2 linked regions of the Canis lupus familiaris genome follow. The protein of the gene in region 2 interacts with the protein of the main gene of each other region in a pairwise test. Links are inferred from orthologs where the notes say so. Each region holds a gene or a part of one and is shown on either strand. Other genes may lie near its edges.

Evidence for each region. The genes of interacting proteins can lie anywhere in the genome.
Region 1: the proteins of SUV39H1 (region 2) and CBX5 interact in binary tests that used the Homo sapiens proteins (3 or more experiments, as listed by UniProt). The link is inferred for Canis lupus familiaris from reciprocal best matches to the Homo sapiens genes SUV39H1 and CBX5.

The regions. Positions count from the first base shown.
Region 1 is NC_049248.1:45,611,229-45,614,879, reverse strand, and holds part of CBX5 (chromobox protein homolog 5), read left to right. Parts: intron 1-3,232; coding exon 3,233-3,333; intron 3,334-3,651. UniProt on the Homo sapiens protein: Component of heterochromatin that recognizes and binds histone H3 tails methylated at 'Lys-9' (H3K9me), leading to epigenetic repression. In contrast, it is excluded from chromatin when 'Tyr-41' of histone H3 is phosphorylated (H3Y41ph).
Region 2 is NC_049260.1:42,096,517-42,100,604, forward strand, and holds the start of SUV39H1 (histone-lysine N-methyltransferase SUV39H1), read left to right. Parts: upstream 1-1,221; 5' UTR 1,222-1,278; coding exon 1,279-1,318; intron 1,319-2,829; exon of another isoform or gene 2,830-2,983; coding exon of another isoform or gene 2,984-3,002; intron 3,003-4,088. UniProt on the Homo sapiens protein: Histone methyltransferase that specifically trimethylates 'Lys-9' of histone H3 using monomethylated H3 'Lys-9' as substrate. Also weakly methylates histone H1 (in vitro).

The DNA.
Region 1 (3,651 bases), on a different chromosome or scaffold from region 2:
GGCATGATCCTGGAATCCTGGGATCGAGTCCCACATTGGGCTCTCTGCAGGGAGCCTGCTTCTCCCTCTGCCTGTGTCTCTGCCTCTCTCTCTCTGTGTCTCATGAATAAATAAATACAATCTTTTTTAAATAAAAGTAAAAAATAAAATATTTACTAATTTTTTTTCTAATTTTTTTGTTTCAAAGATAGCACTTATTTTTAAACTTTAAAATTCTTTTTTAAATTGAAGTGAAATTCACATAGCATGCAATAAACCATTTCATTTTATTATTAAGGATTTATTTGAGAGAGAATGAGCACGTATGCATACATTGTTGGAGAAGGGCAGAGGGAGAAGGGAGAGAATCACAAGCAGACTCCGCTGAACAGGGAGCCTGACCTGGGGCTTGATCTCAAGACCCTGAGATCACAACCTGAGCTGAAACCAAGATGCTCAACTGACTGCGCCTAGACGCAATTAACCATTTTAAGGTGTACAGTTCAGTGGCATGTATATTCTCTTTTGAGTCTATTATTTCTACATACTCCAAATAATTTTCATCTTTTTTTTTTTTAGTTCAGTTTATTTTTTTTAAGATTTTATTTATTTATTCATGAGAGGCAGAAAGAGAGGCAGAGACATAGGCAGAGGGAGAAGCAGGCTCCCTACGGGGAACCTGATGTGGGACTTGATCCCTAGACCCAGGATCATGCCCTGAGCTGAAGGCAGATGCTCAACTGCTAAGCCACCCAGGCATCCCTATTGTTAAGTTTAAAACGTGTGTTTATGAAAGTTTGGTTTGATTTAGTTACTTTAATTCTTCTGATCTTTAGCTCTCAATCACTAGCATAAGCCCTGTTCCTGCTTCTCTTTTTTTCATGTGTATATTTTCCATCTGTACACACACACAGACACACATATTACCCACCCCCCCAGCTTCCAATCCTTTCATTTATTTCAAGGTTATGAAGCCTTTTGTGATGAAGGATGTATCATACCCTTAACATTTAATAAAATAAAAGCATAAGTCCACTTCAGAATTTTCTAGTGTCCCTACCATAAGCATCTCTATTTATCTTCATTCTACTTGATACCCATCTTTCTAGAACATTAGTTCTCAGCCCTAGCTGTACATTAGAATCGCTAGGGGTGGGTGAGGGGCTTAAAAAAAAAAAAAAAAAAAAAAGACCAAGTACCCAAGATACACCTCAGACTAGTTAAATTCAGACTTCTCTGGGTTGGACCCTAGACATCAGTATTTTAAAAGACTTACACAAGTGATAGAGAAAATGGGAGATCAGCTTTCCAAAAAGAATTGAAATAAGAGTGAAAGATTGGAGGCTAAAAGTGAAAGTGCACTCTAGGTTTGTGTCTATCTCTTTATTTGCTTCCCTGGTTAATTTTATTTTTTGCAACCATATTTTTAAAACTACTTTGTTTTGGTGAGGTATGTATATCATTATGATATACTGTACTGATAAGGAATTTGAGAATGCCTTCTCTTCTCTAAGGAGCTAAGACCTGGTTTGCTCTTTCTTTTTTATTAGTCCTTTGTATTCTGGCTTTTGTTGTTTGATTCATTTTCTAGCTAAGTAAAGAGACCAAAAAACAGCACAGCAGAAGACTTGGGACTAGCCATTTGTGACATACGTTGTGTATTTCCTCAACCTAGGGTTTCTCTCCTTTCAAAAAGGAGCAGTCTGGCTTAGACCTACTGGCCGGCATAGAGAGTTTCTTTCCTGGGCCAGGTTCTGATGCTGCTGACCTTGAAAACAACCCCCACACGTCCCTTGTAATGTTCATCTAGGGTCCCTGACAGCATTCTCAGCAGTGCTGGCGGCTGTCAGGTAGGCAGCCAGGAAGATAGGTGATTGTATGTTTTAAAGGTACAGGAGGGGATTGCGTTTCTTTCTTTAGACCACTGCAGAAGAAATTTGTTAGTCGGCATTATGCCTGATTTAAGATTACTGCCTGTGTGATGATTTTAGCATTTTCCTCGCCTCGGCTCCTTTTCAGCAGCTTGAACATTTTTCTTCCCTTCCCTCTCTATGTGGCAAACTGTTTTCAGCCGCCAGCTATGATTTACAACTCAGTTTGTGTGCCAGCATTCCAGCTGTGAGCAGCTGTGTGCACATCTGGGAACCTCCTCCCCTTAAGCGCCCCCAAAAGAGGCAGTGTTTTTAAGTCAGTATCTCCCCTGATCCGTGCATGGAATTTCCTTCCCAGTGTTGGTTCTGGTATCTTTGGGGACCACCTGGATCCTGAATACTTTGTATCTCTCTCTCTCAAAAAAAAAGGGCAGAGTAAATGTCAGATCAAAGAGATTTTATTATGAAAATCGGACATCAGAGATCTAGTTCATTTGGGCAGTCTTTTTAAATCTTTTTTATGTTACCACTAGATAAGCTTGCATTATCTTCCATAATAAGGTTTTTAAAATTACCTGGTTTGTCTAAAATTTCACTGTTTTGCTCTCATCAGTGCCATCACACCTGAATAGGACTCTGTGCTCCTTGTCTTGATTGCATGATTGCATTTTGACCAAGTTTGAATAATCTAGAAAATTACTGGTTTGTTTTAAATCACTCTCCAGTTCTGTTTTCTAGTGCTAACAGCTCATGCATATCAGGAGGGGTTAGGCACAGACCAGGGCCTCTTCTCCAAGTGTGTGGGTATTGTGCAGTATGTGAGCTCTGAAAGAGATTTGCTATTTTATGGTACTGCCTTGAATCATTCTTATCTCTGTTCTTTCATAAATATAAACGACTGTGAAAAATATTAAAAATACTGGTCAGTGTTAAGGTAGACTAAATGTCTAAAAAAATTAAGATGGAGAAGCGGTACGTTTGAGTTTATAAAATGAAAAAGGGTTTAGTTCGGGTAAGCATGGACTTGTTTATCATCTCGGAAGCAACAATTGAGAAGTAGTCAATTCATAATATCAAGGAGATTAGATTAGAAGGTTAGATGAGTTCCTAGGTGATGCCTCCAGAATATCTTAAGGGATATGAAAGAGTTTTAGGGGCTGCTTGTAATCCTGTGAAAGTGTAGTAGAAGGACAACTGCATCTAACAAAAATACTTCTTGGCGTCATTGTCACTGGCTGGCCCAGTATTGTATTTCTTAAGTTCTAAGAATTCTTTGAATTTGTGACAAAAATGAACTTAGGTTGGGCTTTGTTGAGCTGTGAAACTTTTTTTTTTTTAACTCTTCTCCAGACTGTAACCTTTTCTTTATCTTCTATTTATAGCAGAGCAATGATATCGCTCGGGGCTTTGAGAGAGGACTGGAACCAGAAAAGATCATTGGGGCGACAGATTCCTGTGGTGATTTAATGTTCCTAATGAAATGGTGAGAGAGATTGGGCTTCACTGTATAGTTGTGTTTCTTTGCCAGTGGCTTGAATTTGTATAGAAGATAGGGAAGGAAGGCAGAGTATATCCCGACTAAGAATTTTGATTGTCAAGAATCTTTGGTTTATATCACCCATTAGTATTAATGGAAATTATGGTTGGGAGTGGATTTAAGACATTCTCAAGCCTTGGTATTAAGCCAAATTATTTTAGCCCAAATACCTAAGGTAGCTTTGAGGTAGGAAACGTATAGACATGACCTAACCATTTATTTACACAGTTCTGAATCATTTACCGTTAGACCATGAGCCTGTGG
Region 2 (4,088 bases):
ATCATAAAATGCACCATTATTGTATGTATCACCAAGGAAGACCAAAAAAGTACTGCGAATTAAGTTATGACTCACCAGTGCTTGGGAGATGCAGCCAGAATTCAGAGATGTTCCAGAATTAAGTGTTCCTGGATCTCTGGCTGGAGATGTTTCTTAACCTTTGTTCTGGTCCCACAGTTATGTTTGCTTGTGAAAACGCATGACACTGATCACCCATGGCCTGTGACCTCTCCTAAATGTGTGGTACACTCAAAGATGGGGTTTGCATTGAAAACAGGTCAAACCTATACAGCTTGGAATGGAGAAGACCTTATTTGGCCCCAGCACTGGGCAAGGCAATATACACAGTTGGCACTAAAGTAGTGCTGAATGAACAGACAAATGGCTGGGATTGGGACACAGTAATAATAGGGTGGCCTCTTCCTTTTGAGGTCTCCTGGACAGATGCTAGTCCAGAAAGATTGATTTCCAGATGAGTGGGAGATACCCACCCCAAAGCCACTCATCTGACATTTTCAGATGAAGAAACTGCCTAAGGTCACACAATTTAGCAAATGCTACCATTTGAATCCAGGTAGCTAGGCTCCAAGATCCATGCCTCTACTCATTACATTATATATACTGTTTGGGGAGGACCACGGTGTGAAAATTAAGAAAGGGAAACCTTACTTAAATGGACTCAGGATGTTAGAAGGGGAGGCTGGTAGAGGAAGCCTACAGCACAATGTCTACTGCAAAAAGTTTCAGCTACACACCCAACAGAAGTATCTCAACAGGAAAGAATGGTCAATTATAGGCCCCCAACAAAGGAAAGATGTACATCCTATCTCCTTTAAGAAACTGACTACTCCTGCAACTCAGCCAATGAGAAACCATCATCAGTATGAACTCTTGCTGTTGTCCAATAGATTTTTGTTCCAAACCCCTCCCAACCTCCTCCTTCTCCATAACATAATGTTCTCCTTTGTTTATTGGACTTGCATATGGTTTTGCCATAACTTGCTTGTTCTGCGTTGCAATTCTCAGCTATTCCTGAATAAACTCATCTTTTGCTGGTAACATAACTGGCAGTTTTATCTTTCAAATTGGCAAAGGGATGTTTGCCCAACACCCACATGCTCCTACATCACCCCCTCCAGATTCAGTCGGGCCTTAAGCCATTCTTATGGGTTGGACTAGGCTCCTGGGAATAGGAGGGTTTTACCTTTTGGGGGAGACTGGGAGCACGCAAGGACCAGCATCTGACTGTGTTCTAGAAGGAATAAGGGAAGGAAGAGGATGCGTGGTGGGACGTATGCTGCTGATTGTTCCAGTCATGGTAAGCAGGAGCTGATGGAACTTCAGACTGACCGTCTATTTCTCCAACAAGCTCAGAGCTAGACTGGCAGGTGGACAGAACAACCATCTGCTTAACTGTAATCATTTGGTTGACCACATAACTCATGTGCCAACAGGGAAAGGGGCGCTTTGAGGAACTGACAGTGCAGTTGCCTGATGGTAGGAGGTACTGAATATCTAACTAAATTATGCCCACCTGGGACTGGCTGGGACTGGTGGTCTGATAGTGTAGAAGACAGGCAGCCTCCCAAGGGACTGACAAGCTGGCTGACTGGTGGTGTGTGCTGTTGCTGCTGCCTGGGCGGCGGGATGTTGTGCGTGGCTGACTATTGCTAGGAGTCACATCTGGCCTGAGGGAGTGTCTGGATGTTACACTGTCTGATGCAGTGTAAAGGAGGGCTACCCTGAAGGAATTTCGGGCTGACTGAGGGACAGATCTGTGACTGCCTGATAGGCAACTGTATCTGGTGAGTGACTGTCCACCCTGACCACATAGACCATGTGTGGTCAGTCAGATGCTGAGAATGGCTGCCTGGCGACTGACAAAACGATGAAGAGCAGTGAACGACTCACAGGCCATCTGACCAGTTGAAATACCAGTGTAGCTGCCTGACTGGATGGCTGTATCAGGTTGGAATCACAGCCGCCTGGAGGGAGCCCCACGGAGACTGACCAAATGACTGACCAATGGTGGGCATACCTCGCTGAGAAGTGACAGACTGCTGACCCACTGTCAGGTGGCATGGAGGCTTTAGTTGCTGTGACTATTTCTTTGAGGGAATAATTGCCTGATCATGGCGTGAATGAGGAGTAACCTGAGGGAATTAAATATTGACCAACACTGGACAGTGTGACTGCCTGAGAGGGCGACATCAGATGACAATGACAGCCTGTCCTCACCTAATCACGGCCCACCTGAGCCACGGCTGGTGGCTGTGAGAGGCTTTCCCAAGGGGGATTCAGGGCTGCCCCCAGAGCAAGAGATGGAGAGACCGGCTGCTTGACTGTGTGAAAAAGGGGCAGCCAGAGGGAATGATAGGCCGGCTAACAGTGTAGTTGTTAGGAATGCGTGTCTGCCTTAAGACTCGCAGCTGGCCACGAACGGATGCTGCCGTTGACTGACAGACCCTGTGAATGGGGGTGGGGGACCGGGGTCTGACTAAACAGTTGTCTGTGGTGATGGACCCATTGTCTGATTTAATTCTGGGGACTGGCTGAGCAGCTGTACGTGGTGACAGTCCATCTTGGGAGTCACGGCCAGCTTGGGGTTAAAATGTGGTGACGACCGAGTGACGGTGGTAATTGGGGGTCTGACAGGACGGAGAATCCCCCGTGCGGCCGGCTGACAACGTGATTGGCTGACAGCGTGACAGACAGACCAGCGTACGGGTAGGGCCTCCGGCAACCTCAGTTGCCGCCGCTGCGGCTGCCGCCCAGACGCACTCTGGGAAAGCGCTGGCGAGCACCCGCCTTCGGGACCGAGCGGGGTAGCGGGGAGGGGTCCGGTCACGGCTCGCCGGTTGGTCCGCGCGGGCTATGCTCGCGGCGCCGTGCGGCCAATAGGCTGCGCGTTCTCGGCCACGCCCGCGCGAGCTCTCTTCTCGCGAGGCCGGTTAGGCCCGAATGTCGTTAGCCGTGGGGAAAGATGGCGGAAAATTTAAAAGGTGAAGCAGTGGCGGTAGCGGCGCCGGCCTGCTGGCCGGGCCGGGTGGGCTAGAGGGGTGGCGTCGCGGGCTTGGGGCCCCGGCGTCTGAGGCCACGGAGCCAGGAGCCGGAAGCTTGGCGCGGAAAGGATGGGGCTCTTGGAACCCGGGCCTGGCGCGCGGGGCTGGGCGGGGCTGAGGGGAGGGGGCGCGTGCCTCCGAACGCGGCGGGCGCGGGGCTAAGTGGGGACGCGGCAGGGGGGCGCGCGCCTCTGATCGCGACCAGTCGGCGCGCGCACGCGCGGGGGCTTGTCGGGGAGGCCGCACCCGCGCGCGGGAAAATCGGCCGCCAGTGACCGTTACCCGGTTGGTGTCCACGCGAGACGCCGGAAGGGGAGGGAAGGGAAGGGGACGGACCTCCTTTTCAGAGTGGGGGACAGAGGACTCTTCATGGTGAGGGTATCTCCTTTCCGCGTGATGGGGAAAGGGTTTGCTGTAGAGAAGACTCCCCAGGGAAGAGGGGAAAGGGGGCTTCTCTGATAGGAGAGCTGGACTCCCTCGTGTGTAGGGAAAGAGGGGTGACTTTTCCAGTATGTTGGGGAGGGTGGGCTCCTCTGGGTGAGGATAGCTGCGGGGAGGATGGCCTCCACAGTGTGAGGGGGACCTCTGAGAGGTAGGAATCCACCTGTGGCCAGTGCGGAGCCAGCAGCTGGAGAGGTTAGTTTGGGACCACTTTAGTGGGGTTTCAAATGCAAGTTAAGGGGCTTGAAAGGGAGAGGCATCATAGGGAGAGGAAAGCGTGGGCACAGGCTGAGTCTCCACTAGGCCTGCCTCAGTGGAGGGGGGGTTGTGCACACGAAATAATTTTGCAATGCTCTTGTACGTTTTCAGGTTGACGTCTGCAGTATTTCATTAGGAGTTCAAATGTCTGATTTTTTTAACGGGAGGTAGACGATATTAAAAATAGGATGAGTACTGACTGCATTTGGAATTAGTGTTCAATGGAATGATTTGATAAAATGGCTTTAAAGCACATTGTGCCTTGAATCAGAAGTCTTTTTCTTTCCTTTAAATCGGCGTCTTGAAAATTTCTGATAGCACCAGAAA